Caenorhabditis elegans: one gene and its partners. The protein of the gene in region 1 interacts with the protein of each later gene in a pairwise test. Each region holds a gene or a part of one and is shown in the gene's direction. Other genes may lie near its edges. The genes, in order: gld-3, pop-1 and gls-1.

Evidence for each region.
Region 2: the proteins of gld-3 (region 1) and pop-1 interact in a two-hybrid assay, tested with the Caenorhabditis elegans proteins (one study listed by BioGRID).
Region 3: the proteins of gld-3 (region 1) and gls-1 interact in binary tests that used the Caenorhabditis elegans proteins (3 or more experiments, as listed by UniProt).

Annotation. Positions count from the first base shown.
Region 1 is NC_003280.10:7,128,271-7,139,159, forward strand, and holds gld-3 (Defective in germ line development protein 3), read left to right. Parts: upstream 1-4,372; coding exon 4,373-4,497; intron 4,498-4,545; coding exon 4,546-4,627; intron 4,628-4,668; coding exon 4,669-4,779; intron 4,780-4,824; coding exon 4,825-4,895; intron 4,896-4,937; coding exon 4,938-5,103; intron 5,104-5,147; coding exon 5,148-5,276; intron 5,277-5,320; coding exon 5,321-5,440; intron 5,441-5,486; coding exon 5,487-5,564; intron 5,565-5,608; coding exon 5,609-5,746; intron 5,747-5,793; coding exon 5,794-6,036; intron 6,037-6,084; coding exon 6,085-6,183; intron 6,184-6,231; coding exon 6,232-6,400; intron 6,401-6,542; coding exon 6,543-6,665; intron 6,666-6,709; coding exon 6,710-6,778; coding exon of another isoform or gene 6,779-6,867; exon of another isoform or gene 6,868-7,057; intron 7,058-7,113; coding exon 7,114-7,191; intron 7,192-7,235; coding exon 7,236-7,475; intron 7,476-7,522; coding exon 7,523-7,949; intron 7,950-8,068; coding exon 8,069-8,441; intron 8,442-8,485; coding exon 8,486-8,534; and 4 more. Other genes in the region: F10E7.1 (ATP-dependent DNA helicase), read left to right, coding at 1-656; T07F8.4 (ELM2 domain-containing protein), read right to left, coding at 2,427-2,604, 2,646-2,707, 2,760-3,112, 3,160-3,355, 3,405-3,514, 3,557-3,613, 3,665-3,746. UniProt on the Caenorhabditis elegans protein: Required maternally for germline survival and embryogenesis. Forms a complex with gls-1 which promotes the oogenic cell fate by freeing the translational repressor fbf to repress sperm promoting factors.
Region 2 is NC_003279.8:2,825,431-2,833,954, reverse strand, and holds the start of pop-1 (Protein pop-1), read left to right. Parts: upstream 1-3,643; 5' UTR 3,644-3,661; coding exon 3,662-3,836; intron 3,837-5,356; coding exon 5,357-5,475; intron 5,476-6,881; exon of another isoform or gene 6,882-7,072; intron 7,073-8,524. UniProt on the Caenorhabditis elegans protein: Transcription factor. Part of the Wnt signaling asymmetry pathway. Binds to the consensus sequence, 5'-(C/T)TTTG(A/T)(A/T)(G/C)-3'.
Region 3 is NC_003279.8:8,733,970-8,745,144, forward strand, and holds gls-1 (Germline survival defective-1), read left to right. Parts: upstream 1-3,102; coding exon 3,103-3,249; intron 3,250-3,298; coding exon 3,299-3,449; intron 3,450-4,151; coding exon 4,152-4,339; intron 4,340-4,437; coding exon 4,438-4,514; intron 4,515-4,566; coding exon 4,567-4,660; intron 4,661-4,707; coding exon 4,708-5,037; intron 5,038-5,134; coding exon 5,135-5,454; intron 5,455-5,502; coding exon 5,503-5,696; intron 5,697-5,781; coding exon 5,782-6,020; intron 6,021-6,068; coding exon 6,069-6,177; intron 6,178-6,222; coding exon 6,223-6,459; intron 6,460-6,589; coding exon 6,590-6,705; intron 6,706-6,748; coding exon 6,749-6,941; intron 6,942-6,991; coding exon 6,992-7,155; intron 7,156-7,219; coding exon 7,220-7,399; intron 7,400-7,446; coding exon 7,447-7,528; intron 7,529-7,579; coding exon 7,580-7,774; intron 7,775-7,835; coding exon 7,836-7,978; 3' UTR 7,979-8,579; downstream 8,580-11,175. Other genes in the region: prp-4 (Pre-mRNA processing factor 4 (PRP4)-like domain-containing protein), read right to left, coding at 1-230, 527-644, 694-861, 908-1,187, 1,230-1,367, 1,434-1,586, 1,652-1,738; dhfr-1 (Putative dihydrofolate reductase), read left to right, coding at 2,253-2,387, 2,432-2,562, 2,609-2,761, 2,804-2,954; C36B1.9 (RING-type domain-containing protein), read right to left, coding at 9,880-10,501, 10,809-11,175. UniProt on the Caenorhabditis elegans protein: Required maternally for germline survival by forming a maternal complex with gld-3. During hermaphrodite development forms a complex with gld-3 which promotes the sperm/oocyte switch freeing the translational repressor fbf to turn off sperm promoting factors.

The DNA of each region.
Region 1 (10,889 bases):
TTCCTGAACAATTTCATTTATTCACTAAAGAACGACTTGGTGATCCAATCTCAACTCATCCAATTTCTAAAAATTCATTGGAGAAAGTGGAACTAGATCTACGCTTTGGTGTTAATACTTTGGTTAAAATGTTTCATAGAAGTGCTGAAATATTACCAACGGATAATATCATTGAAAATGTCCGAAGAATTTTTCCAACCAAGAACATGATTATAACTCTTCCAAATAGTTTCTCACCACTTCCAGTCGAGCATCATTGCCGTTTTGTTATGATGTTTTTGAGAATGGGATTTCCGAAGGGACAAAGAAATTTCAATGTCACATGGAGATTGTTTATTCACGAACCGATTTATGGAACATCACCAGGATTTAAATATAGAAATATGGTGATTCCAGCATTCAACTACAAGCCAAAGCCGTGGGAATACGAGTCATCACTTCAGAATAATCATTTATATTTTGAGAAAACTGTCAAGTTGCAAGATGAACAGGAATTTTCTTTTTTCAAAGAGGTCAAAATCTGGAAAGGAAACAAATTCTGTGTCAGAAATGCATATACAAATTGTAATGTAGATATAGATTTGTATTTCGAGTCCAACTTGTTGAAGAAAGTACTAAATACACTCAATAAAATTGAAAGCCAATCAATTAATTAAATGCTTCCGTTGTTAACCTTTTTAATTGCTGCATGTTTTTAAATATTTTATTGCTTTCAATTTTTTTTCATAAATTCAAACTTATTTTCTCGTTTTTTGATTTTTCATGAAACTTATCGATGAAAAGTGCCTCAGTCTTTCCCATAGATAATTTGTTATTAATCAAACCTCGGTGCTGCTCAAACAATTTTCAGCCAATTTATCACTTGCCCAAATCAGTATAGTTTTGGGGAAATACTTTTTGACTACTGGATTTTTGACTACATGGCTTTTTGACTACGGGCGTCTTTTTCGCTACTGACTAAAAATACTAAAAATTATAGCAACATTCGCACTTTTGTCTTACCGCATAAAATCCAATGCGCGTGCTCCAACCAACCGCAGTTGGCCCATGATCCAAGGGTACACCGAATTGGGGGTACATTTGTTCTTAGGGTACATTCGACATCATCACAATCATTATTAGGGTACATCCACCGGTTTGTTCAGAGGGTACATCCATAAGATTTTTATAGGGTACATCGGCACTATGTTCCAAGGGTACATCCAATTTTCAAGGGGTACAACGGATTTTTATAACTGAAATTTCTTAGAGTTGTGATTTCTCATTTTTTTCACATAGGATCATAATTTTTTGTTTTTTAACTGCCGTATTGAACCATAGTTTTGTTTCTTGATTTCAATTTCATTTCGCATTAGTATTTTTGATAAATAATTCACAAAATCGAAATCTAGAAACAAAACTATGAATTTATTCGAATTTTTCAATACAGCAGTTAAAAAACGAAAAAATTGTGATCATATGCAAAAAAGATGATGAGTGTTATGTATTCGATGTTATGTATTCGATGTTATGTATTCGACAATGTTATGTATTCGAGGCTGAACCAGGAGGCTAAGACGAGTAGTTTATTATTACATAAATAACAAAGGAATAAATAGAAAGTTAGTATACATAGATCATGAGTTCACGTTGCACGATCTTCATATCCACGTTGAGGGCTAGGTACACGTAGATACCCAACACCTTTGAAAATTGGATGTACCCTTGGAACATAGTGCCGATGTACCCTATGAACAAACCGGTGGATGTAGCCTAAGAATGATTGTGATGATGTCGAATGTACCCTAAGAACAAATGTACCCCCAATTCGGTGTACCCTTGGATCATGGGCCAACTGCGGTTGGTTGGAGCACGCGCATTGGATTTTATGCGGTAAGACAAAAGTGCGAACGTAGCTATAATTTACTCTCTCTCTCTCTCTCTGAAAACGGGGTCGATAAGTGCAAAATCTACGGGATTTAACACCAAAATTTCAGATGCAAATTTTCAGATACTGAGACCGAGATGGCAGAATTAAATGTTGGTTTTCAGTAGACAGTAACATTATCTTCCGATTGGTATGCTTTTTGCTCCATATTTCCACCATATTTTTACGGGGCTCCCAGTTTTTCACTTACATGTGGTGAAGGATCACAGACCAGAAGAAGACGTGTTGTACGTGCTAGAAATGATGACTGGGAGGAAATCGAGTGTGATGATACGGAGACCGAAGTCCGACAGTGTACGGGTCGTCATCAATGTTGATAAACTCTAATTTTAACAATGAAATTTTATGAAAGTGAATATTTGATTCAGATTAATTTGACAACGAAGGAATTTGATTGTTGTGATTACGTAAATGGGTATCAGGGGCGAGATTATTTGTTAAACAGAGATCGAAAATAATAAATGCTTAGGTGAAAAAGTAAAAAAATAGTTCCCTAGTTTTAGTTCGTAAGAGTTGATGGCTCCTCTGAAGTAGATGGCTCGGAGAAGGAGGCTTCAACAAATCCAGTTTGACCATTTTGATCTTCCAGTTGAGCTACTTGCTGATGCCATGCAGCAGATAAATGAGGCTGAACTACTGGCGCATGCTGTGGATGAGCGTCCCGCCAAACTCGATAGCTGAAATAAATTATTAAAATTTGAAATCGTCGTTCTCTCACCCAGGGGTTAATTTCCATTGATAGTAGTATTCGATAAGTTCTCCAACTTTCCGGTAGGGTAGCTAAAATAAAACATTATGAAAACTTTTTGAATTTGCAAAATATACAACTAACCCGTAGTCTCCTTATCAGCGAAAAATCTTTTCCATACAGCTCGAGTGACTCTTCAAATGCCTTTGCTTCACTCTCATCGAATCCCAATGCATCTGAGCGAACAGTGCGGAATGGGGCATTTATATGAGGAAAAGGGAATGATTCTTTCGCCTTTTCTGTGTCAAAGTTGCTTCTATACAAAGCACATAGAGCGTCCTCGTCGTCTCGTGATTCGGTGCCAGCTGGTGGACATGGTTGGTCGTGGGCTTTTCGTAAGCCTACTACATCTTTGAGATAGTTGTCAATAACTTCATCACTTGGCTGATTCGTCTGATCAATTGTCCATAAAATAGTGTCATCTTCTCGAGCAGATTCTGAAGAAATAAATCGATATAGAATCAAAAATCAGATCATTGCTTACCTTCAACCGTTGCTTCATTAAAAAGCGGGACGTCGGCTTGGAAAAGTACTGGATCCACACGAATACTTCTTTTCCATGGGTCTGGCGGTGGTGCATAGTCGTCATCATCGTCGTCGAAGCCACTCATTGAATTACCCATATCGAAAATTGTTGAGTCGTGCGGTTCTGCAGCAGCCGAACTTGATTCCCCTACATTCTGAAAAATATAAACATTTTATAATTTCACTTTATCATTTGTAAATTACTTCTTCGGCGATTTCCGTATCTTCATTGTTTGCAGATGAATTTTCCGCTGGACGATAGCCATACTTACGTTGAAGTTCTTCAATTGACATTTCTCCCTCATCTTCCAAGTCTGAAAAGAAAAATGAGTCAGAAGCAAATTAAAGAAATTCACCTTTCAATTCATCTTCGTAGTCCCCTTCATCTAGAAGCTCCTCCTCTTCAATTGTCGCTGGAAAACCATACGTTGAAGAAATTTGAAAAAATATATATATAAGCATACCTTCATAGTCTTCGCCATTATCATTATCGTCTACATAATCTTCTTCATCAGTGATAGACGAACGAGAACCCTCTTCATCCATATTCAAAGCCTGGAAACTAACAAAAGTTGTATTAAAAACGGAAAAAGCGAAAATAAGTTAAAGCGGTTTGCGCGTCGACTAAGACGTAATTCTCTGTGTGCGGTGTTTGCGGACTTGTTTACAGTAGCTCGCAAAATAAAAAATGATGCAAAGCCAATGGGTGTTTCTAAAAAAGGGGAAGTTAATTTTGAAAAAGTAGAAAGCAACACAGATATAACAAAATAGTATAACAATTTATTAAAATGTAATTCAAATGTTCAGTCTGTTAAATGAAGCCGCCCCTAATATTAGGCAGCTAATCAAATTTAAAAAGTACAGTAACCAAGAAAGTTTTCAGAAAGGCGCATTACCGAAATCGAGCAGGTCTTACAACGTTCTTCAAGGAGATTGTTTGGCGCCCAATTCCTCGAACACACGTTCAGCGTGATTTTCAGTGTGTTTTCTCATTTGTTTTCGTGCAATTTCATCCTTATAATGCTAATATTATCTGTAATTAATCGTTCCACGATGATACTAATACCAGTAACATCGACGGAGGCACTGACGATCATTTATAAAATATTTGAAACTCAAAAAATTTACTGAGCAAACGCTTTAGTGTTAGAAACAAGATTTCAATTTTGCAGATGGGGGAGCAAAGCCATGAAAAAGATCATGATGAAGCGCACTCCTACAATCCATTCGTTCGCTCTGCCGTTGAATACGATGCTGACACACGCCTCCAAATGGCAGAAAATGCGGCATCTGCAAGGTATTAAATATGGTTTACGCTTACAACATTCTAATACTCCGATTTTAGAAAACTATTTGTATCGTCTGCCCTCAAAGATATTATCGTGAATCCTGAAAACTTCTATCATGATTTCCAGCAATCTGCACAGGTAAAGGCAACAACTTGTTATGTTACAGTCAAACAATTCAGATGGCGGAGGATGCTAATCAGAGACGACAGGTGTCATACAACACGAAACGAGAGGCTCATATTCATCAGCTAAAAGCGCAAGGATTGCCTCTGCCGTCAAATATACCAATGGTTTGACTGCTTCACATTCCACTGATTAACTGATTCAACATTTAGATCGAGATTAACCCAACTAGAGTAACCCTCAATATGGAGTTTGAATCCCAATACTATTCACTAATGACCAGGTTAGTTCACCAGTTAAGCGAAAGAAATTGTATTCATTTCAGTGACAACGGGGATCACGAGAATGTCGCGTCAATCATGGCAGAAACTAACACCCTCATTCAACTTCCCGATCGTTCTGTCGGAGGAACTACACCTGATCCATTTGCACAGCAAGTAACCATCACTGGATACTTTGGTGACGTGGATAGAGCACGAATGTTGATGAGAGTACGTTCAACTCTGATTATATGAATAATGTTCGTATTTTACAGAGAAACTGTCATTTTACAGTTTTTATGGCACTGTCAAAAATGAAGATGCCACTTCACGAACTTCAGGCACATGTCAGACAGAACCCCATTCAAAATGTGGAAATGTCTTTCGTCGATGCTCCAGAAAAGGCAAGCCGATTTAGCTAGTAACCAACAGTATTAATTTTCTTCAGAATGGAATCGTCACAACCTATCTTCGTATCACCGCCCGCGAAAAGAATCAGCATGAACTGATCGAAGCTGCAAAACGACTGAATGAAATACTTTTCCGCGAGTCTCCGGCACCGGAGAATGTTAGCAGATAAACTGAATATATATCCTGAACATTTTGTTTTTCAGAATTTCACTCTCCATTTCACATTGTCAACATACTACGTGGATCAAGTTCTTGGAAGTTCATCGACGGCGCAACTCATGGTTTGGCTAAAGGATATTTCTATTACATCAGCATTAAATTTCAGCCTGTAATCGAGAGGGAGACAACGACAATAATTAGTTATCCATGTTACAATAATCGAAACGAAACTCGTGGAAATATTTATGAAATTAAAGTTGTTGGGAACATTGACAATGTTCTTAAAGCCAGGAGATACATAATGGTGAGGAGTATGAATACATAGAAAGATATACACTCGAGAATTTACAGGACCTCCTTCCTATTTCGATGTGTTTCAACATTAAAAATACTGATATGGCAGAACCGAGCAGAGTTTCTGATCGGAACATACACATGATTATTGATGAGAGTGGGATTATTCTTAAAATGACTCCTTCCGTGTATGAGCCCGCGGATCTACTGTCAGGAGAGGTTCCGTTGAACTGTGCCAGTCTTCGTTCGAAGGAGTTTAACATAAAGAAGCTGTACACCGCTTATCAAAAAGTTCTCTCGGTAAGCGCACGTCTCTCTGAAATGAGATTAAGAACAAGTAATTTTCAGAAAAAATTTGATTTCATTGCTCCACAACCAAATGATTATGACAACTCCATCTGGCATCATTCTCTTCCGGCAAACTTTTTGAAAAATTTCAATATGCCGGTTAGTCATGTTTATTTTACATTTTAGTTCAAAACGAGATTTTTTCAGTGTCGGGGTGAACTTTCTGATGGTTCAAACGGTCGTCGTCATAGAAGCTCATCAATAGCTTCTTCTCGTTCCAAACACAGTTACATGAGCAAAGGAAAACAATTTTCTGAGTCGTCTGGGGGTCCATCAAGGTCTCACACAAGAGTATCTTCGTTTTCCGAAAATTCATGTGAGCAATTTGCCTTTTATGATTGTAAATAGTACACACAAATTATACTATAAAATTATTTAAGAAAAGCATATCAAATTTATTTAAATAACAATGATAATAATATTACTACAGAGTGCTTTAAAATCAGGAAATTTTGCAGCAACCGTCCCTATTATGCAATTTCCAACGCCACATTTTGCACCACCAATGTTAACTCCTCATCATCACATGCTGAAATACGTCTATTTGCAGCAACATCAGCAAGCTCAGACATTTTTGAAAGGTTGCTATTATATATTTTGTTTCGACAATCATACAAGCTTTCAGGTGCAGCTGGATTACATCCTGGCACACATATCATGTTCCCTCCACCGATCATCGTCGATGGATCCTTTGGTGCGCGTTATTCTTCAAATATTTATCCATTTTCTTACATAGTTCCACAGAACTTTAACTTTTTGAACGGAAATTTCGGTCACCTTTAGAAGATCTCTCGTCATGTTATATATTCATCGTGTAAAATGAGCTCTTCATGAAAAATTTGCCAAATTCTGGATAGTTTTAAGCCACAAAATTTTCTCTTGTTCCTCCTACCGCCACTATGTAATATTTGTCTTTTCACCCGGTTGTGATGATCTTATTACGTAAATTCAACCACAATAAAGCGTTTAGCTTCCATCAATATTCTATGTCTTCGTAAAAATTATCATTATTGAAATTTTGTGTTTCAGTGTCTGCTCTGCCATTTGCGGATCCTGTAGTATTTGATGGTTTTCCTTATGTCCACGGATTGTTTCCGGTAAATGAAGGTTGGTTTATTCGTTCAAAGCATCATTGCAACAATCACTTTCAGCCGAACAACACAGAAATCACCGTGAATCATCACCATCTCTACGATCAACACAAGAAATCAGAAAACCGTCTAGAAACATGGGAAATCGACCATCATCGAGCACAGGTTCTTATTATCCATCGACAACACCTCGTCAACGTGTTTACGAACAAGTTCGAGAAGATGATCTTCGTTCACATATTGGTTCAAGAAGAACATCAGTGAATGGAGACGATCAGAATGTTGAAAGCATGCACGACCGTAAGACTATGACAATAATAAAATTGATAAAATCATAATTATTACAGAAGGATATGAAAGACAGTACCCACGACAGCATCAAAGACTTCAGAAGGATGATCAACAACGCTGGAAGACAGGAAGTCGTGGAGATATTCACTCAAGTAGAACAATTAATGTGCACAGAGACGTTCGCAATTCCAATGAATACGACTTTCATGTGGGAAATTCTGGGCCAGCTAAGAGGTCCCCGTCTTTGGAACAAGTACAATTGCAAATGACACACCACTTGAAGTTGAAATCGAATGATGTTGATTTGGATCATGAAAAGCTTTATATGCATGAGTCACCGCACAATGATTCTGATACTACAGTTTCTGCAAGTGGCTTCGGAAATGATTTAATGGATGGAGACTTTGTTCAGAGATTCCTATCCAATGCAAATATCAATGAATCGGGAAGAAGACCAAGAACAGTTAGCTGTTTTACCGAGAAGTACGTTTTTAAAGTTGAAATTAAAAGAGTTTATAGCTTTTCGTTTACATCATAAATGAGCATTTTTAATTTGCAAAAAATACATATTTAAGCATTCATATAATCAAAACATTTTACAGAGATGGTCAATCCGCCCGATACATCGATTCTGATGGTGCATACAGCGTTGTTGATCATGCATCCACACATCAATCTCGTTCATATGATAGCTTCAGAAAAGTTGGCGACAACGGAGTCACAAAAACCATATTGGAACCACGTGCTCGAGTAGAGAAAGATTATGGCAAAATAAGCCTAGAACACAAGACGAAATACTCAAATGAGTACGGTGATGAAGAGAAGTCAGCAGAAAATGATACGTCTTCGTTGGGATCTAGACAATACAGAATTGATCCAATGAAGTTAATAGCTAGTGTTCGTGAATCGAGTGAGCAACTACCACGTATTCATGAAAGGCAGTTTAGCGATGTTCTGAATGAAAAAGAAAAAGAGGCAAGTAGTCTATTGGCTTGCCATAATTATCTGTAAAGCTTCAGATCGCCGACAAAAGTATTGAATCTACAGTAACCCAAGATCTTTCGTTAGGTTTGTAAATCCACAATTGGCTAATTAACATACATATATTTCAGACGAAACATCTACATATTGAGAAATCGGGATTTTTCCAATAGCTTCTTCTACTTCTTACATCAATTTTCGCTATATATGAACCCTATTTGTGCATATCGTATACGGCTCCATCAATTTTTATCTTACAAACCATCCATTTGCCTGTCGAGAATATCTTTGTATCCACGGGACTTATACGACTAGGCCGATGGTTGGTGCTTAGCCTTCACAGTTCTACACTTATTTTAACCGAAATTATTTTCCAATTCTTCCCGTATTATTTCATTGTTGTCACCTCTTCGTTCGTCATTTTTCTATCTTTTCATTCCTTTTGCAGACGTTGGAAGCATAGGTAACATGAAAAATTAAATGAATTCACAATGAAATTCAGAATTTTCGTGCATCTATACTTCCAATTGCAATTTATGGCACTGTCGATGTTCCCTTCCCTATATTTAATGTTCTTCCTTTTTTCTCCCATAATTCCCAGTTGTTTTTGATCGCAATATTGTCCCGGGTCCCATCATATCTAGGTTTGTTTCAATGTATTCCATCTTTCCTTTCTTTTTTCATCACTTCATATACACTACCACTTTTATTGTCTTTTCTTTTTTTTTCGTCATTCAACTAGGATTTCATTAGCAGTTTATCCCAATTTCCTCTACAGTTCTGTTTATAAATGAAAGAATTGCGGAAATATTGTTGTTAATCACATCTTATCGTCCGACAACTTTCGATTCAGCAAGGACATGTTCATTGATAATGTTCTAAATTTCTAATATGGAAAGTCTCTTGGTCGTTCAAATCCTCGCCATAGTCTTCATACAAGTGGAAGATTTTGATTTTAGAAAGACTAAAATTAATTCGTCTCACTTGAATGTAGCGATAAAAGGATAGAAGAAACAAAAAAATTTTTCCTGAATTTCCCTGAATCGATACACTTTCTCCATATAATCGTAAAGCGAGGTCTCTCTTTTTTCTTGAAACGGACTGTCCATTGGAGGCACTTATTTCTTGAAATGAGCCAATCTTCGACCGCCTGACTCTACTCACTCCATAATTTCATCTGCATCATCTTCTTTTCCCAAACCAAAAAATGTGTATTCTTATTCAAAACGACGCTTGTTTTTTTTAATACGGAAAGAAGATTTGATGACAGACTTCCTTGGATTTTTCGTTAATATGTATATGTGTAAATTTTTTTCAAATTAAAGATAGTAGTGCATTGGGAATATTGTTAAAAAATCACTCATATAGTACTAAAATGACGATGACTCGGTTTTCCACACTCATCATAATTTTGGAAGTCGACAATTTTTTTTCATTATTAAAATGTTTCTAATAATAATTATTTTATTATTGTAGGAGCTGAAACATGTGATTTTTTAACCGAATTTTTCCTGAATTTTTCGCGAAATTTGGCAATTGACCAAAACATTGACTGAAAATTTCAAAAATTGTGCTTTTTTGAAATTCTTTTTTGAATTGTGCAAAAAGTGCTTTTTTGAGTGAATTTAGATTATTATGAGTTAATTCAAAATAAATCCACGTTAAAGCTACTCCATCTGGAAAGCTTAAAAAATCGTTCTTTTTTGAATAAAGATAAAGAAATAGAAGAATCGATTATCTGATTACCTCTCTTCAAAAGATTTTGAGAAGACACTCAAAGTAAACCTGTCTGCCTTATTCAATTGCATTCACTTAATGTTCATGAACATATTCTCGTATTGAACATTCTTTTTTTGGCTTATTCATATAAGTTATTTCATTTGCACTTTTCAATTTTTATATATTTTTGAATCTACGCGAAACATTCTATGATTCAAAAGTTTGATCTCTCTTAAAATCTGAATCATATTAGCGTCGTTGACCAACTAAATATCGCTCATTTACGTACGCTCTGTGAACTTTTTTGGGAAGCACCAATGATATTTTAAGAAGCTTTTTGATGAAATTATTGATCTCTTATAACTGAATTTAATTTTCTTTTGTTGAAAATGAATAAGATTTGAAAAAATTGGCAGCATGTTTTATTACGTTCTATTTTAAACAAACTTGTCAGATCAAGTATAAACATCAAATTAGGCAGAAAAAACATGAAAAACTTTAATCTAGGCAGCAAAATGATTACCTTCTTTCAAACAAACCTAATGCTCCAAAACAGGGTTTATTTAAAAAAACAGGCTGTGTAGGCAGTAGGTAGGTGTTTAGGCAGACAATCTGTGTTAAACAATTTTTTAGTAACTCTATGTTTTCTTATAAACTATCTTTTTGGTTTCGTTGTTGCAAAACCGCGTTCAGTGCTATCCATTTCTTTGCATAAAAATAATA
Region 2 (8,524 bases), on another chromosome or scaffold:
ACTTGCCGGAAAAAATCGTTTGACGCCCAATTGTATGCGCCTTTAAGTGTTCTGTATAATTTTTTGCAATTATTTTTATCAATTTGAACATTTTTCTAGTTCTGAAAATATGCGGTTTTGGTCCAAAAAAATCTTGAAATTACAGTACTCTTTAAAGGCGCATTCCTTTTCGAATTCAACAAAAATGTGTCGTGTCAAGACCGCGTTTTACACAAAATACACGAATTTTTGCGACTGTGTAATAAGAATGAAAGCAAATTTCGAATTAGCAAGGTGTCTACTGTCGCCTGTCATATGAAATTGTGCGGTCGCGTTGAGACCTAAAATTTAAAAATCCACGTGGCACCGACCGCTCCCCGGGAGATTTTCACGCCTAGATGAATCAAAACATTCCACCTTTTTTCATATAAACAAATGGTTACGCTTGTCCTCTCTCTCTCCCTCTTCATCTCAGAATGTCCTTCAAAAATTCAAACGTTCCCTCTTCTCTTCTTTCCTTTTTTGCTTCTACACACATTCACATTTCCACGCTAATCCCTCGTGAAACAGCAGTAGCAGCATCGCGGATGGTTGCATGTCAATTGATGATCAATCGATGTTTTCTACACTCCGAGTGCTAAAGGAGAGACCCCAATATTCTTACATAAATTATTGACAGGGAGGGGGACTCCGCTCCATCTTCGGGGAGGGGCCCCACCAAGATGGAAAGTGCGGATAGCTGGCTGTCGCCACGCAATTTTCAAATTAGGCAGGCAAGAAAAATGGATGAATTTTCGAGATGCGTATCTCTCCGCGCGACGATTGCGGTCTGATTAGGTTTTATTCAAATTTCTCGCTTAATGACCTTCTTTTTCCAGCTCATCGCCAGAGCCACCACCTCCCCCTATTTACTAAAAACCTGTCACCTTTCCTATGGGTGAGAACGGAAATAGCCCTTCTTTGTTGCAGCGTTTCTAGATTATTACTACTAGACATTTCCAGACACTCATTGTCTGTTACGCCTGGTGGCTCAACAACATCTGCCTCTCGATTTTCTCTAATTTTCGTGAGAATTTTTTTTTACTTTTTCAATTCTTTCTGTAGTTACTGTAGTTTTTGTGCGACTTTTCTTTACACAAATTACCAACAAAATAGTCTAAAAATTGTATTTTTACACTTTTCCATAAGAAGAGTTGGCCATGAAAAATTTTCATTGATTTTTTCTAGTTGTTTTTCCTCTGTTAAAAATTATTTACGGTAACATAAAATTCGGAGAATGCGTATTGCGCAACATATTTGACGCGCAAAATATCTCGTAGCGAAAACTACAGTAATTCTTTAAATGACTACTGTAGGTCGATTAACGGAAATTATTTATCATTCGGCAATGACAAAAAACTAAATAAAGTAAATGGGAAAAAAATCGAGATCGCGTAAATCGACCTACAATAGTCATTCAAAGAATTACTGTAGTTTTCGCTACAAGATATTTTGCGCGTTAAATATGTTGCGAAATACGCGTTATTAGACTTTCGTGATCCCGTAATAAAAAAATTGAATTTGCTTCGCAGTGTTCCCGAAATACAGCCAAATTTATTTTTTTCAAGCTTTTTCGTTGCATTTTCTCCAATTTTAGTCTCCGTTTTCCCAACATCCTCGTTTTTACACTTGTCCAGGTAATTTTCTCTAATTTCTGGGAAAATTCCGCAGAAAAAACGGAAATCTAGAAAAATTCGAGATTTCCCAGCAGTTTATTTTGATTTTCTTCAATTTTTCACTCAATTTCACAAAGAACTATTCGAAATCGAAAAAAAAATCGATTTTATTCAGAAATTTATTAAAAAATTTTAAAAAAATACCGTACCCTTCAAGCAACGTGTACTCCTCTCGGAAAATTCGAATTAATTATTAATTTTTATTGATTTTCAACCAATTTCGCTACCAAAAAGGGTGTGTTCCCTCTAATTTAGGATAGTCTTTGCCATTTGTCTCCTTCCGTTTTCTCTTTTATCTGACTGGGGTCACATTCACAGTGAAAGGAGAATTAGAAAAAAGAAAAAAAGATGAAAACACGCTGTGTCTCTATCTCTCCGCCAATTCTCACGGTTTTCCCGGTGAGTTACAACGAAGAAAATGAACACTTCGATAAAAAATATATATTGACGCCCCGGGTTACCGATTACCGATGCCCACAAAAATCACTTCTTATCAATTTTTAAATGGTTTTTTTCAGGACAATCTGATTTTTATTTTTTCTCACTCAACCTCCACTCTCTTCAAGTTCCATGCTCTCTTTTAACCTCTTCTACAGCTATTATTGTCGGCCACCTGCGCACACACACAGGGCCTTCTCACACACCATTTAGCATGGGCGGCCCCTTGATGAGCGATGAAAGCGAGAGACGCAGAGAAATTGGTGTAGCGGGGGGCCATGGTGCACTACCGACAGCGCGCGCATACACCACCACCAACCGCCTCTTGTCTTCTTCCCCCCTTCTTCTCACGTCCCCCGGTCCGTCATTTATTTGAATTTTATGGATCCTTTTCGCCTCGTTTTCCTCGTTCCACTATCCTCCCTCCTACCTCCTGCTGGGTTCTACGTTTATTTGCATTTTATAATTGGAGGAACTTCTTCATTCGAACATTTTTCGCTTTTTTTTCCCGTCATTCTTTTTGAATTTTGTAGAGCGAGTAGCGGCCTAGTTTTCGGCTAGGCCATCTGTTGCCAATGACAGATGTGTTTTGTTCACCGTATCGATTCCTGCTCTTTAATTTAAAATTCCCGCGTTTCGGATTTATAAGCAAAAAAGTAATTTTCTACGTCAAAAATAGGTAATTTTAAGGTATTTAAAGTCTGATCGTGGTGTCACCCATGCCAAAAAACATGGCATGCGCCTTTAAAGACTACGGTATATTTACAAAAATGTCGAAAAATGCGAATTTTAAACAAATTTAAAGATTTTTGATGATTTTCTCCTTTTTGTTCGGAATTCCCTTGTTTAAAATTTATGATTTTATTTTTAAAAACTCAAATTACAAATTAATAAGCCGAAAAATATTGTTATTCGCGGTGGTACCCACATTGAAATACATGGCACGCGCCTTTAAAGGTTACGGTAGACAAAAATACTTGAAAATTTAATTTTGAACAAATTTCGAAGTTTTCGATCAATTTCTAGATATTTCACATCGAAATTTCCTCGTTTCAAATTATTTTTTCAACGAAACAGCTCAAATTCGACATTTTTAAGCAAAGAAAAGTAATTTTGTTCGAAATTCGTGTCGAGACCCACACCAAAATAAGCGGCATGCGCCTTTAAAAGTTACGGTGGACAAAAGTATTTTTTAAATTAAAATTAAAACAAATTTCACCGTTTTTGCTGATTTTTCTTGAGTTTTTCATCTAAAATTTCGATTTTGTCGTCAAAATTTATCTCTAATTCAATAAAAATTCAACATTTTCCAATTTTAGAAGTCTAAACCTCCACTTTCTCCCCAAAATCCTATCGAATTCAAATTTCCCGCGTCTTTCCCCTCTCCATGGCCTAACTTCCGCGGACCTAGTCCCCCTTTTTTCTTGTTTTAAATGGTTCCGTGCTTCTTTTCCCTCCATTTTTCCGTCAATTTCCCATTAAAATCGTTAAAAAATGCTCTAAATTTCCAGATATAAAAATACACAAAAATGATGGCCGACGAAGAGCTCGGCGATGAGGTGAAGGTGTTCCGTCGGGATGAGGATGCTGACGATGATCCAATGATTAGTGGTGAAACGTCAGAACAACAGTTAGCCGATGATAAAAAAGAAGCTGTAATGGAAGCAGAATTAGACGGTGCCGGTCGAAATCCATCGATTGATGGTGAGTTTTCCAATAAATTTGATCGAAAGGGGAAGGTGGCCAGCTATCACACAAAATTTTATGGACCACCTCAATTGCCTTTCGACTTTATTACACAAAAAAAATATTTGAAAATTCTTCTAAATTTCTAAATTTCTGCAGGAAAAAGGGACATTAAATATTAAAAAAATACATATAAATTTAAATTTAAATAATTTAAATAAAAACTTTAAATGCTAAGACTGATCCCAAAAAAAGAGAAAAAAATCATTAAATTTGAAAAAAAAACCTTATTTAAATTCCCGCATTTTTTGTCTAAACTCCGCCCATAGAACCGTGCCGCACTTTGTTTTTTTTTCAAATTCAGCGTAAATCCATATTTTGGGGGTTTTTTTTCAGTTTTTAAATGGAGAAAAAGGTTTTAAAAATCGCCGAAAAATTCATTAAAAGCTAGAAAAACAACCCAAAAATTGGACTTTACGTTGAAATTAAAAAGTGCAAAAGTGCGGCACGGTTTTATGGGCGGAGTTCAAAATCGAGACAAAAGCGCGGGAATTTAAATTAATTAAAAATCGCTAAAATATTTTTTTTTGACAAATTTGAGTATTTTCAGTGTTATTTTGAATTTCAACCAATTTTAAAGCGATTTTTCGCCATTTTTTATATTTTAAAGTATTTCTAACACTTTATAAATGAAATTTACTCATTTTTAACCAATTTTTTTTCCGGTTTTCACTATTTTCTATTAAAAAAATCCATGCTAATTTCAAAACACCCCTAAGAATTGACCTGATGGTCCCGGGCCTTACGCAATGACATAATGACGTAAAAGGATGTTACGCAACGGTGTTCGAACACCATCTGCGTCTCTCCGAATCCCATACTATCTCGGTCCGTTATCTTGTGTGCTAATCCGTCGTGAGTACTTGAACAAGTTGGTCCGTCTGTGTGTGCTCAATAGACTGTATAGGGGTGCGAAAGGATTAAGAATTGGATAATATTCAAAATTGATCTGAGAAATTTGAACTTGGCGCCAAAAATTGACCTTTTTTGAGATCTGTGAATGGAAAAATCTAAAAAATTATGTATTTCAGGCCTTTAGAGGTGCTAGAAATTCCTTTTAAAATTTTACGAAAAATCGCTTTAAAATCGAATTTTCAATTGAAAAATCTAAAAAATGAGAGGTTTTGAACTCGGATATCACTATAAAAGTTGAATTTTAAAATATTTTTAACTGAAAATTGTGAAAATTTGCGAAAAATCGCTTTCAAAAATCGAAATTTTGAAGGAAAAATGAGATAATTAACCCTATAAAATTGAGTTTTGAAGAATTTTAACTAAAAATTGTGAAAATTACCGAAAAATCTCTTTAAAATCGGAGTTTTCATGAAAAAATCTGGAAAAATGAAATCTTTAACCCTATAAAATTGGATTTTAAAGAATTTTGACTAAAAATTGTGAAATTTGCCAAAAAATCGGTTGAAAATCAAAAATTTGGCTCTTTTTTAACCATTCTAACCGAATAATTATCAAATTTTCAGTGTTAAAAAGTGCATTTCCAAAAGTCGAACCAATGTCACCATCGTTTCCCGGTTTAATGTCACACTTCAGTCCTGGATACTCGGCAGCTGCTTTACCCATGTTTATGCCTCTATTTATGGTGATTTTTTACTTGGAAAATTGAAAAAATTTGAATTAAAACACATAAAAATTGGCGAAAATCGACAAAAATCGACTTAAAATTGTATTTTAGAGTTAACAAGTTAAATACTTCTGAACGAAAAATTACCGAAATTGGCAAAAAATCGGCTTTAATTGGAAGTTTTCACTGAAAAATCTGAAAACAAAGGTGAATATTAGGCCTCGAATATGTTATAAATACCTTATAAAGTTGAAATTTCAAGATTTCCCCCAAAAATCGACGAAAAATCGCTTTAAAATCCTTTTTATGACAATTCCCCCTATTTTATTAGAAAAATTATGTAGTCTAGGCATTAGAAATACTTTTAAAAGTTGCAATTTCAATATTTTGCCCAGAAATTGCCTAAGAAATGGGAAAAATTATGTATTTTGAATTTTTAAAGGGTTCGAGAGCCTCTATATTTTTGGAATTTAAGAATTTACACCAAAAATTATTTAAAAAAAGCGAAAAAACACCCTAAAATCGAAAGCTTTATTGAAAAATATGGAAAATTGTGTATTTTTGAGCTTATTCTTCAATTTGAATCAAAAATCGTCGAAATTTGCAAAAAATTGCTTTAAAATCCTATTAAAAATCATTTTTCCAACAATTTCTTCCCCAAAAAAGCAGAAATTCCAAAAAAAAAAAATTCAAATTTTTACCCAATTTCAAGAATTTTTAGGGCTTTTCTCCATTTTTGTAGAAAAAAAACCGTATTAATTTTTTATTCTTCCTACAATTTTCTTCCCCAAAAAGCAGAAATAATACAAAATTTCCACTAAAAAACTGAATTTATTGTCTTCCAAATCCAAAAATTCTTGGCTTTCCGCCATGGGGTTCTGGCCTTCCTCATTGAATTTTTCGCGCTCCATTGACAATCGCCCGCCGGACTGGGATAGTCGTGTACTCCACACGGACAAGTGCATTTAGTTTTACAACTAAAATCGAGCCGCGACGCGACACGCAACGCGCCGTAAATCTACTGAGCCAAAATGACCTAGTTCGGCAAAAACTCTTCCATTTCATTTTATGAGGGAAGCCAAAAATTCGTGAGAAATTCTACAAAATTTTCACCGAAAAACTGAATCTATTATCTTCTGAATCCAAAAACTCGTTGCATTTCCTCGAAAACAGTTTTTTCTTCTTTTTTGTTGGAGAAGCCTCATTAACTCCCAAAAAATTGCGTGTTTTTTGGCAATTTGTTTTTCTCGAAAAACTATTGGCGAAAAAACACCAAAAATTTCTTTTGAATTGTTGAACATCATGTCAAGAGCCGAAATTATTTCCTTTTGCGTCACTTTGGGGGGTCTCGATGGTGGTGGTAATTATGGTTGCTGGTACCCGAGACACGGATACAATAGACAATTAGACACCTCTGGGCCCCCCCCCCCCCCACACACACATGTTTGGACACCTTTTTTCTACAGACAAAAAGACGCGGAAAACAATAGGTTCAAAAGGTGTGTGTGTGTTCGTATTCATTCATTACAAAATGATGATGACCCCACACCAGAACAAGTGTGAGAGAGCTCTAATTGCTTCCGGAACATGATTGGTGCCACTTCCTGTAGAGAATTGACACTTGTTTTTTGAATTTGTTGAGAGCTAGCGGGGATCTGAATGATTACCGTACCTACCTACTAGGCCTATCTTCTCGGGGTACTGTACACAGACACGTGGTGTCAAAGTGTCTCATTTCGACTTGATCTACGTAGATCTACAAAATAGGCGGGAGAAGAGACGCAGAGCTCTCAACTGATTTCGCATGGTTAAGAACCTGTTGACGTCACATATTTTTGGGTGAAAAATTCCCGCATTTTTTGTAGATCAAACCGTGAAGGGGCAGCCTGACACCACATGCACAGGTTGAGCCAAGGTTTTCTGAAAAATTAGGAACGATTTTCCATTCGGTTTTTGTAGCAAAAACTAAAGGAACTACAGTACTTCTTAAAGGCGCGCAAGTTTGTTTGAATTTAACTTCGCTTCGAGATCGGGTACTGTAGTTTTGGCGCGAAAATTGCCATATTTTATCCCCTCTACATTTTTTTCAACTCCTTCTCGTTAGGGGTACTGTAGACAAGTGACTAAATACACCAATCTACTCAAACATTTGAGTTTTCACTGACGAATTCGAACTCTTTAGTAGATTTCGTGGAAACTGAATGACTACCGTACCTTTCAGAGCTGTGCGGCAAATCTTGAAAACTACAGTACTCCTTAAGGGCACACGGTCTTTTGAGATTCAAAAAGTCGGTCGCTTTGAGACCAATTACCGTTTTACTTTTAGGTATTTTCGAATAATTCGAGTTTTTGAAACTTTCAATTGAATGTAAAGTTGCTCTCAGAGAGTACAAATATTTATATATAAATAAATTTGAAAAAAAACTTTGAGGCAACAATCGGAAAATCTGATCCGTATCTATTCCATTTCGACTTAAGCCCCTCCACATCTCAAGTGACTGTTTTGTGCTCTGTGAGCAACTAGTGATAACACAGATACTCTAATGAGCTGCGAACGAGACTTGCAAAACAAATATTGTTAACGAGCGGCCGCCGATTGGAGGATATTGAGCAGAGCAGTACAACAGTTTCCGAGAAGAAACTTCTCGGGGGTACTGTAGGACAGGTGGGGCCAGCCGCTCAGGGAGTTAGAGAGAGTGCTACAAAAATTTTTTTGGGTTAAAAATTAGTGGGAAATTTGCTTTTTTGCACTTTTTTTAGAAATGTTTTCTGGAAAATTTGATTTTAAAAAAAGAAAAAAATGTTTTCGATTTTTTTTTTGAAAAATGGGAAAACCGACACCCGTATGAAGGGTGTCGTTAAAACGAACATTTTAGAATTTTTAAAAATAGCTTTTTTTAAATTTAAAATCGATCTACTTTTGTTTAAATTGATGAGAAAAAATATTTAAATTGATAAACTAATTTTTGAGAAATCGAAAAAAAATGTTCGAAATATCGGAAAATTGAAAAACAAAAAATTTTCGATTTTTAGTTTTTTGAAAAAATTGAAATCGATTTTTTTTTCA
Region 3 (11,175 bases), on another chromosome or scaffold:
CATTTGGCATCCATTCAACACTGTGAATTTCTTTTGTGTGACCATCAAGGAACATAATACATCTTCCAGTTCGCATATCCCAAACTCTTCCATAACAATCGTGTCCGCCAGTTAGAGCGACTGATCCATCTGGATGGAATGCCACATCAGCTACTGATTTTGAGTGTCCTTCTTGATAAAGTAACTCTTTTTTCGTTGTCAAGTCGTACATTCTCCACGTGGAATCGAAGCTGAAAATGATTATCTTGTAGAGACTGAAATTCAAAGGTTTTCTGAATACTGCATCAGAAATAATCGAATATTTTTGGCAACTGTAAAACCTGTTTATTTCAATACGATAATCTAATTTTTTAGACGAAAAAGCGCTGAAAACTCAGCGCCGAATTCGGCAACAATGAAAGTTTGAAGCTACAGTACTCTTTAAAAAAGCGAACACGCTTTTATTTAACGACAAATTGTCGAGTCGAGACCGATTACCGTATTTTCGGCTCTAAAATCGTCGTGTTATTACCATTAAAAAACTTACCATGCAGTAGCGAGATGATGACCATTTGGATGGAACGCAACTTTAGATACTCTTTGTGGATGTTGTTCTAGTTCTCCGATTGGTGATTCCTGGCTTAGCGACCATAGAAGAACGGTTCCTGAAATCACGAATTTTGAGAAAATTGAGCAAAAATCAGTTATATTTACCATCATACGAACACGAAACCACATTCAAAGAAGAATAATCATTCTGAGTAAATGCACCGGGATGAAAACGTGCACACCCTGCTTGAGATGAATGTCCAATAAATTTAATTTCTTGAGCACATTGTTCTCGCTTCCAAACTGCCACTGATCCGGACCAGCCAGCGGTAACTGAAGTTTTTGATTAGTTGGAAAGTTCTACTTAGAAAAAACAAACCAATATGTTCAGAATCTGCTGAAAATTCACAAAAAGCCACAGGGCGTGTGTCTGCAACTTGAGAAGCATGAAGATTGATTTGTTGAACCCATTTGTGAGCTTCTTGACGAGCCAAAGCTTTTTCGTGAGCAGGGCGAGCAGCTTCTTCTCGAGCTTTGTCAAGTCTTAATTTAGCTTTTCTTAGAGAAAAATCAGCGATTGAAACGCGTGCCATCCGAAGTTCAATCGGACCACGATGATACCAAGTAACGGTTTCTTCGTCTGCTTTATCAGCATTCACCTTCAAATTTTTAAATAATTTTTCAAACATTGAAAAACTTACTTCATCAGTATGCAAAACGGCTGCAATTTCATCTTCAGACATTGTTGAAAGTAGAGCTCTAAGTCTTTCTCTTCTATCCAATGCATCTTCTCCGAACAAACAAATTGGTTGGTTTAGAGCACGAAGTTTCAGTTTTACCTTTAAAATATATCTTCAAGTGGGTAGTTATTAAAAAAATTTTATTCATATGTATCAAAACTGTACCTGAACATCATCTGTTGGCAATGTGAGAGTTCTTGCTCTCCGTCTTCTATCAAATTCTGCAAACATTTCAGCATCGTGGCGTGAATCTGCTTGATTTGATACTTCCATTCGTTCCAAAGACACTGTGGGTCCATGGTTTTGCTGTTGTGCATTCTGAAATTTTAAATTAAAATTCAGAAAAAATAACATAGTCAAAGAATTCATGAAAAAAAACATACCAAGATTGCATTCACGCTTTCTGCATTCGCCAGTGATCCAAACTGTCTTGGCGGTGCTGGAACAGCAAAATTGCCATTTTCAGCCATTTTGTGTGCTCTTAAAAAATTTAATTACTTTAAAAACCACTGTAAAGAATATGAAGTTATATATTAGGACATTCAGAACGAAGATGTGAGACATAGGAATGGGCTTGTAGTTTTATTATAATTTATTATATTTAGTTGTGAAGTTTAAAACATTTTAAAGTGAACAAAGGAAAGAAAATGGCATAAAAGTTCAAAAAAAGCGGTGAAAATTCTTCGAAAGTGGGAACCAGTAATCGCGCTCTAATGATAATTTGAAGAAATCTGAGGTTCTCTCACTTCTTCTCGATTCATTTTCACCCTCATTTTTTTTTGATTATCTATTTTTATTGATTTTCCCACGATTCATTATCTTTATCTTCGAAATCTGTATTGTTTGAAGATTTCAGTCGATACGAAGTCGAATGGAAGCGTATTTCAAATGTGCTTCGTTTTGCTGTGCAAAGTTCTCATTACCCGTTTTTAAAATTTTCTCTGGTATCTCAATCGAGTTATTTTCTATTTCTAGGCATTAAAAATGAGAAAAATGAACTTAATAGTGGCTATGGATGCCGAAGGAGGAATTGGCAAAAATGGCGTGTTGCCATGGCGAATCAAGAAAGACATGCAGTATTTCGCGTCTGTTACCAAAAATGTTTCTGATCAGTCGAAGGTTGTTCGAGATTTCTAACTAAACTTGTAACATAACTTTTGTAGAGAAATGCAGTTCTCATGGGACGAAAATGCTGGGAAAGCATTCCAGTAACTCGCCGCCCGTTGGCAGGACGGCTAAACATTGTTTTGAGCCGACAACTTCCTGCGCAAAAGTCCGATGACTACATTGTTGTGTAAGCTGTCATGAAATAATATTTAACCTGTTGTTGTTACATTCAGAAACTCGCTCGAAGCGGCTATGAAACTACTTTCGGAGCCACCATTTGTGGATTCGATCGAAACAATCTGGAATATCGGTGGAGCTGAAATCTATGATCTTGCGTTGCGAGAAAACTTGGTTGATGAAATTCACTTGACACGTATTTTCAAAAAGTAGGGTGCTTGCACAGTTTTTTTACTCTGTCGTAATTTCAGCTTCGAAGCCGATGTTCATCTCAAGTCACTCGATTTCAGTAAAATGGAGAAAGTTCAAAATGCCGAGGTGTCATCGGAAAATTCAGAAATTTTCGAAGAAAATGGATTAAAGTTCGAATTTTGCAAATGGAAGGTTGTCGAGAACCACTGAATTTTTTTTTGAAATTGCTGTTTATTTTTTTAATTTATATGTATTCATTCACCTGTTGTTTACTCGGGCAGCCCACAATTTTCACGTGTAAATATAAAATCTGTACATGATTCTTATTACTATTAACTTTTTGTAATTCATCGTAAGTATGCGATGTTTGATATCTTATTTATTTCATTCCTTCCTTATTTTTTTAAAATTTATCCGTTCAGACGTCACAGCTTTAACTCTTCAAGAAAAGCGTAAGAAGTCTCGGTTAACTGGTATTTTGATGAAAAGTATGGCCAATAAAAAGGTGTGTTGATAAAGATAGTGAAATTCGACATATTTTTCCCTAGTTTCAGAACCATCAGCAAAAGAAAAGTACAGACGGGTCAACGATGAACGGGAATAACGCAACAGCAACTGCCGCTGCAACAACTCAGAATTCATCACAAATTGGACAAAATTCCAATTCCAGTCATAGCGTCACCAACGATAACACTTCCAGCAATAGTACGTATACACGTTTCTCACAAATCTGTTTTGAAATAACAAGGACGGCTGTTCCTAAATAGGTTTTAGAATTTTCTTGCAGCAATTGCAAATTAATTCAAAATTTTGTGTCTTAATTTCCAATGGTTCATTTAAATCGAGATTTTGGAGACCTTGGTCTTCACAATCTGTGCTTAAAAAATGACCCCGAAGAAAAGAAAGAAAGTGAATAGACGAGTACAGAACCGAGGAGGGCAAACATATATAATAAAAATAAAAAAGAGAAAGAGGCCACCAACACAGGCACGATGCCCCTTTTCCATCTCTTCCTCTTCTCTTTTCAATAAGCATCAAGGTGCGAAAGTCGATTTATTTATTATAACCCAAACTATTACATTTGATTTCCCTATTGATGTGATGAGTGATAAGCAATGACTTTTCTAGCATCTAAATTTTAACAATTAGATTGGAACGTCTATATTAATCATTTCATATTTATTGATTTAATTTTAGAATTTGATTTATATATATATATATATATATATATATTCAATGTCCTATTATTTCTATGTATTCTCTTCTGATTTTGGAATACTTCAACAAAATTCTCAAGAAAACGTTAAAATGAAACATAAAGGGTCTCTAAAATGCGGTAAGCAACAATGTAAATTTAAAGAAAATTCAACTCTCAAGATTCATAGAATTTATTTATATTCATTTCAGACGCTTCGACGTCTACATCGTCCATCACCTCAACTACCACTACGACCACTACAGTACCTTCTTCACAGCAGAGTCAATCTCAAAATCAATATTCACATCAAAGACTTTCATCGACTTCTTCAACGTCACAGCAAACTGGAATTTCTAAATTTCCTGCCAAAAAGGCTGGGCACAACGAGCTTGAGAAGGTAAGTAGGCGAAGATAAATTCGACTGAGTCTATCGTGCATAATTATTTCATATTTTAAAACACATGTTTTCTCAACCTGTTTATGATTCACTTGCAGACAAGCAACACTGCTAATTCACAATCGGGTGCTTTCAAAGGAACCACAAATAAAGATCGGCCGAAGGAAAAGGAGAAGTAATTAAATCAGTAACTAGTTAAAACAAATCCTTAGCTTTTGCTCGTTCAGAAACACTCACAGTGGTAATAGGCAAAGTCAGGTTAACCATAATCATCATCATTCAAACCATGTTAGCGGAAATCAGCAGAACCGAAAGAATAAGGTTTGTATAAACGTATAATTACGATAAAAATTAATTTTAATGTTAAGAATCGTGATCATTCGAACCAAAGTTATCGAGGTGGCTACACACATAACCACAATAATTATCACTCGTTGGAAAATGCTAAATCTTCTGGATTTCTGTCAAATTCTTCCCTATCCTCTGCGGGACAAATATCAGCGTCTTCTGCTCCTCCAGTGAGCACAACTCCGACTGCTATTCCCATCTTTCAAGAATCCAAAATAGTTCAAACAGATCCACCAGTCGAAGAAGCAAAAAAGAAGAAGGAAAAACCAAAAATCAAGCGTGATGAAGAGCCGATGCCATATAAGAGCACTGATCCGAAAAATATGGATTCTGTGATGGCATTCAAAGAGGTGATTCATAAATACAAGACATTTTAGTATTTATCATTTTTATTCAAACAAAATTTTTAAAAAGTTATTAGTTTTCAAAACGTAGTTTGGATTGCAGCACGATGAATGGGATAAGGTGGAGTTTATGTGTGAACTTGTTTCTTTCCTGTCTCCAACCGATCTTCGCCTGCTTGGAAATTGTATCGAAGGATCTGTTCGTTGCTATAACAATCAAATGCGGCCAGTAGAAAAGACTTCAAACTGTTCGGATCCAACAGCTGGTTTACCTCAATTCGTTTGCTCTCCTCCACCTCCACCGCAACAAGTTTATTATTTTCCTGGTATTGCGGATGCTGCCCTGTATCAAACAAGAAATGCAGTTAACTCGGTTTTTGTACAGCAACATCCACCTGGTCTTCCACCGTTATTAGGCGGAATGTATGCATTATTGTCGGTGAATTATAATTTAAAAATTTTTTATTTCAGGCAGAATATTATGTATCCACCTGATGCTAACTTTCATCATTCAACCTCTTGTACGACACCTTCATCATCAGTTTCCGTTGCAAATAAGGATGTTAACAATGTACCAGTTGTGCTATCAAGTAGTGTGAACGGAATAAGCAATAATATTCCATCAGATAGACAACAGCTAGATTCCAAACCAAATACTGCAAGAGGTAAAAAATCTTCATCATTATTTGACACAGTTAAAAAATGTATTTTACAACACAATTTCCCTCTCAAATTCGCAACATTTTTCAGGTTCGAGCGGCAATATCAACCAATCTAATACAACATCACCAGAACCGGAGCCCGGTTCTAATCACATCTCCACCACAGCAGCAAACCCTGCACATCCAACTTCAGTGACTGTACCACAGTCGGTACCACCGGTCCCTCAAGAACCAGAATTGTTTCTCAAATCTGTTCTCGATCTTACCAGTTACATATACACTCTCATGGCAGTTTGTTCATCAACAAATAGAAAATCAGCTGCTAAGGTGAATCAGAATACGACTTTAGATGGTATTTAATCGATTTATTTAAAGATCTCTGACTATGTTCAAAATGTTATTCTGAGAGAAAAGAGCCAAATACTCGAACGTATTCCGGATGAACTTGATAAAATTACCGTTTTACAAGAAATCGGTAAAATTGGTAAGTCTTCATTTCCGTGTTTTGGAGTATACTTTTTTGTTTCAGTCGCAGCCATGACTCATCACCCAGCAATTACTCTTGATGACAAAATGAAATATGCGGCTCTGCGGGACGGATTACGTGCTCAAATAGAAACATTGTTTAGACAATACTACACAACTCAGAAACAGTTGGAGCAAAGCAATCTTGTTGTACCATCATCACAAGCTGTTGGCGATGAGAATGATACTGATTCCGACCATGAATCAGAGGAAGAATTTGAGCCACTATCAGGTGTTATGGGTAAGCAATTAATTAATATTTAACAGAATTTTTCACATGCATTTCTAGAAATTTTTCGATAATTAGTCGATGAATTGAGTTCGGAACATTCCAACTAAATCACTGATAACATTCCGCATCTTTTTTTCAGGTTCGCGTTTCGAGAGTAATCCAGTTCAGCCGTCGCCATCAGTTCCGGGAACATTCTTTATCATTCGATTTATTGGACGACAAATTGAGAAGAACGATAATCTTTTCAGCCTGGAGGTAACACGCAACCTGAAGTTTCTGAAATCATAAAGGTTTTCAGATTCATTGGAGTGATGGTGACAGAACATTTGCTCAAAGATCTCGTGATCAATTGAAAGCTCTACAGCATCGTCTTCTTGATGAGTTCGGACAACAGAGAAGTGAAAAATATCTTCATCAAGGATGCACTACATCCTACTCTTCATTTGACGATGATAACAAAAAGCTTTCAGCGAGCACATCTACAATGGAGAGTATGTATTTTCAATTTATAGTCTCTAATTTACAATTTTTATTTTTGCAGCGTTTGCTCCAAACGGAGAGCGTATTGTTCCACGTCTTGCTCGTGATGCGACTCCAGCTCAATATGTTCAATACATCAATGAACTTTCTGACTTGCCAGCTAGAATGATGCTGTCAGCTGTAATATGTGAAGAGTTCAACGGTACCAGAGCGAAAACAGAAGATGTTAGTTTCTGATACTGTTCATTTCTAGATTGATTGAAAAGAACGAATCTATTCCGAAATAAAGCTATTGCAGGAAACTCGCGAAGCATCGGATGGATTAATATATTCTCGATGGAAGAATCCACGTGCCAAATCTCCAGTTCGTTACTTCAAACGAAATGCAACAGGAAGCATTGACCCGATTGAATTGCCTGTCAATATGCAACCATTCCTTTATTCAAATATCCCGCAAACACAAGTGCAGGTTTGATTTCGAATTTTCGTAAAATCTGAGAAATTTTCAATTTCTAGACGCTGTTCCCAAGTTGCTCTAATTGTGGCGGTCCTCACGCTCCGAAACACTGTGAAAAACAAACATTGTTATCGAAGAAAGGCATGTACAAGTTGAATTAGATGGCAATAATGAGAATAATCAATTATTAAGGTGATCATAGAACTCGTTCAGACGGGGAAGGTTCTCAGCAAAATGGTGGAACTTCCTCTTCCAATTCATACGCTCCAATTCATGCAAACCTCCCCCATGCAGTATACATTGAAAATCCGCAAGCAATGTTAGGATCAAATCACTTCAATCATCATCAACAACAGCACATAATTCAGAATACTATATTCCATAATGGTATGTATTAAACTTTTAAAAATTAGAATAATTGATTCAACATGACACAATAATTTCTCAGGTGGACAATTTCGTGCAAACGGAACATATGAACCGCAAATTCCGATAGCATACTATCATGCCCAGGGAACTGTACAAAACTCAAATAATACTGGTGGAGTCAACGGAAACAGTGGGGGCGGGAACCAGAATTCGAATTTCTGAGAGATGCTGAATTGCTGCTCCTTTTTATATCAATTCTTGTGATTTCGTAATAGTTTTCTTCTTTTTTTGTTCTTTCTTTCACCCAATTTTTTTTTCATTGTTTATGTTTAACGCTCACACATTTTAATTTTCATCGACACGTGTATTATTGAATTTCTCTGATCCATCACATCCCGATTGCCATCATCATCCTTAAAGCGACATTTTCTCGTTAGGTACGTACACGTGGTACAACTTCGTTTAAACTATAACAAATTATCACTGAAGTCTCGAAAAACGTTCTCTTTCTCTTCATAATTCACAAGCCAAGACCACCTGATTAGTTTTATTCAATTTTTTCTGTTTTCTATATTTCAAAATGCTGGTCATTTCTCTCTTTCGTTTAGGTATTCACTTTTTTAATTTATACATATTTTTGTTTATATATACATATATCTTTTTGACCACCCCGTCTTCCACCTTCAAGAATAATATCGTTGATTTCTTGTTTTTTTTGTAACCCTATCTCTCTCTCCCTCTCTCTTCCCTCTAAATTTTCTTTCATTTTCCCAATTATTTTAATTGTTTCTTAGGTGCGAAATGAACGGTGGAACTAAAAAAATATTTACAAAACTTTATGCTGATAGAGGAGAAAAACACAACATTTGGGATACAAAAAATTCGAGAATCGCTTCGTGAAATGATGACTCACACTAACATAAAATTTTACACATTTTTAAAAATGAAATACAAATGAAATAATTGAACAGTTTTTAAAGTATGCGACAACTAAGAAAATGCATTTGGAATTAATTATAATCGGGATTTTACAAATTGAAACCACGGAATGAATTATTAAAATCACCACTTTCGAAGATTATTTAGAAATGGAGTAAGTTGTTTCAGAAAAAAAAATGAATGGACCTTGTTACGTCATGTTCCCGATGGACACTTTTCTAGAATCGATTGAAAACTGAAAATGGCAGGAAATGACAATTTTGGATGAGGGTTCGGGAAGTAAAGGTAAAAAAAGAAAAATCAGATGATCCTGAGGATGAAAAGGCTTGATGAACAATTGGAAAATAGGCAAATTTCAGAAAGTTACAGACAAATTTGAATATATTGCAAAGCTTGGAAGACACTGTGTGAAAGAATTGATGATTTTTGGATGATTTGACATTATATAAATATTATTGAATTTAATAAAAAATTAGTTTAAAGGCACATTTGTATATCGTGTCAATGCACCATTAAATTTAGATTTTAATCAAGAAACAATAATATTTTTAATATGTACATATCTGATCAATATGATTTGAGGAAAATTAAAATGTTGAGCAAGAACACGAAACATGATAAAAATGTTGAAAACTCAAATTACTCGAAGAGATTGAGAATTAAAGTGAAAAATCGATATTTTTGGACGAATTCGATCCGTAGTGTTTTTGTTGAAGTTGGCGATATTGATATATGCATCCGCGAAATCTATTTTTGCCCATTTGGCTTGGTTCGGCTGAAATTTTTTTTTGGAATTGCCAAACTAGTTATGTTCAAATTATAATGCCCAATTTATTTTCAATAAAATTTAAATAGATTACCTAATTGCGTCAACTTTAAAATTTTTAGTCAAAAAGACTGTACCTACTCTCGCGACGAACAAAATTCATTTTCAAAAAGGCGTGCGTCTTTCATACCTACAGTAATCCAGCCATCGTTTTTGGTAATGTTCTTCGAATTTTCAACGTTTTATTGCTGTATTATTTTCTTTTTTTTAAGTTTCAATTTAGTTTTCCAGCAAAATAATGTATCCAGAAAAAATTGTGAAAAATCAAAAATTATTCGAATGTTCAATAAAAGTTCAAAAATATTTTCTCCGAACTGTTTTTGAATTAGTGATTATTTTCTGAGCTACAAAATCATTTTTAAAAAACAAACTTTGCCATGGCCGCAATATGACGTTTTCCTTGAGAATGAACTGCTTTGGATCCCATTGGAACTTCACATCGGCATACATTACAAAAGAGCATTTCTTGTCGAGTTGAGCCATTTGTTCGTGGAACAAACATTTCTTTTTCCTCTTCTTGAGCTCTATGTTGTGGACAAATGACGTCATCAAGCTTCTCTCTTACTCCCATTGAATTCGCCAAATTTACAATTAATCGAATCGTCAAGTTTGATTCTTCTCCATTTGTTGGTTGCTCTGGTCGATTGCCACGTAGTGCTTCTTTTGCTCTTTTTCTGATAACTGACAGATGAGCATTATAATCATCGGCTGGAACTGGACGTTGACGACGACGACGTCTTTCGGTTAGACGTGGAGATTCAACGATTGTAGGTGCAAATTTAATACTGTGATGACGAAGAACTCGAAGAAGTCGGTCACAATCAACATTATTTGCTTGAGAATAACGACGGAGATCAGCAAGTTGAGAATCAGACATCGTATCAGTAATTGTTATTGGGCTATTTGGAGGTAAAAGTTCTCGATAAAGAGAGTTCAGATTTGCATGATTATGTGGAAGTGAGAAGCTATCAGGTCCGTGTCTGAAAATTTTATTAATTTTTTAAAGATTGGTCACTTTCAAAATGGCTTTAAAAGGATACTATCTATCTAAAAATAAAAATGAGAATTACGGGCAATACAATTTCACCGTTATTCTACAGTAGTCAGGTACGGTAGATTACGAGAACTTCGGCGGTAACGGACAGTTATGTTTCCCACATATACCTTTATTACATGGTTAGAATTTTAGATTTTTTGAATAATTCCGAGCATTGCTGCAAAGTGAAAATTCTACAATGGTAAAAAAATTTAATTGGTCAATATAATTGGTTAAAAAGGTTCACTTACCTAAAATGCCTTGGTGAGAAAACTTCAATCATTCTATAAATAGTAACAGCTTCTCCAAGAGTCATTCGTGGTGGTGGTGGTCTTTCAACTGGTTCATCAACAAATGAAGAATTATCTGAAGCAACACTTTCATCATCATCTTCTTCTACATCAACATCATCATGATCTAATATTGGTGGAAGTCCATCTGCAACTCTTCTCATACTTTCTCGATCTCTGTCTTGATCAAGTGTTCTACGAAATCTCAGATGCATTTCTAAATCTCTTTCTTCTTGTCTTTGTAAGTGTCTAAACAGAGAGAATGGATCATTTCTGTCAATATGAACATTCTGCATATTTTCATTTCTATCCAAAAGTTGTCTCATCA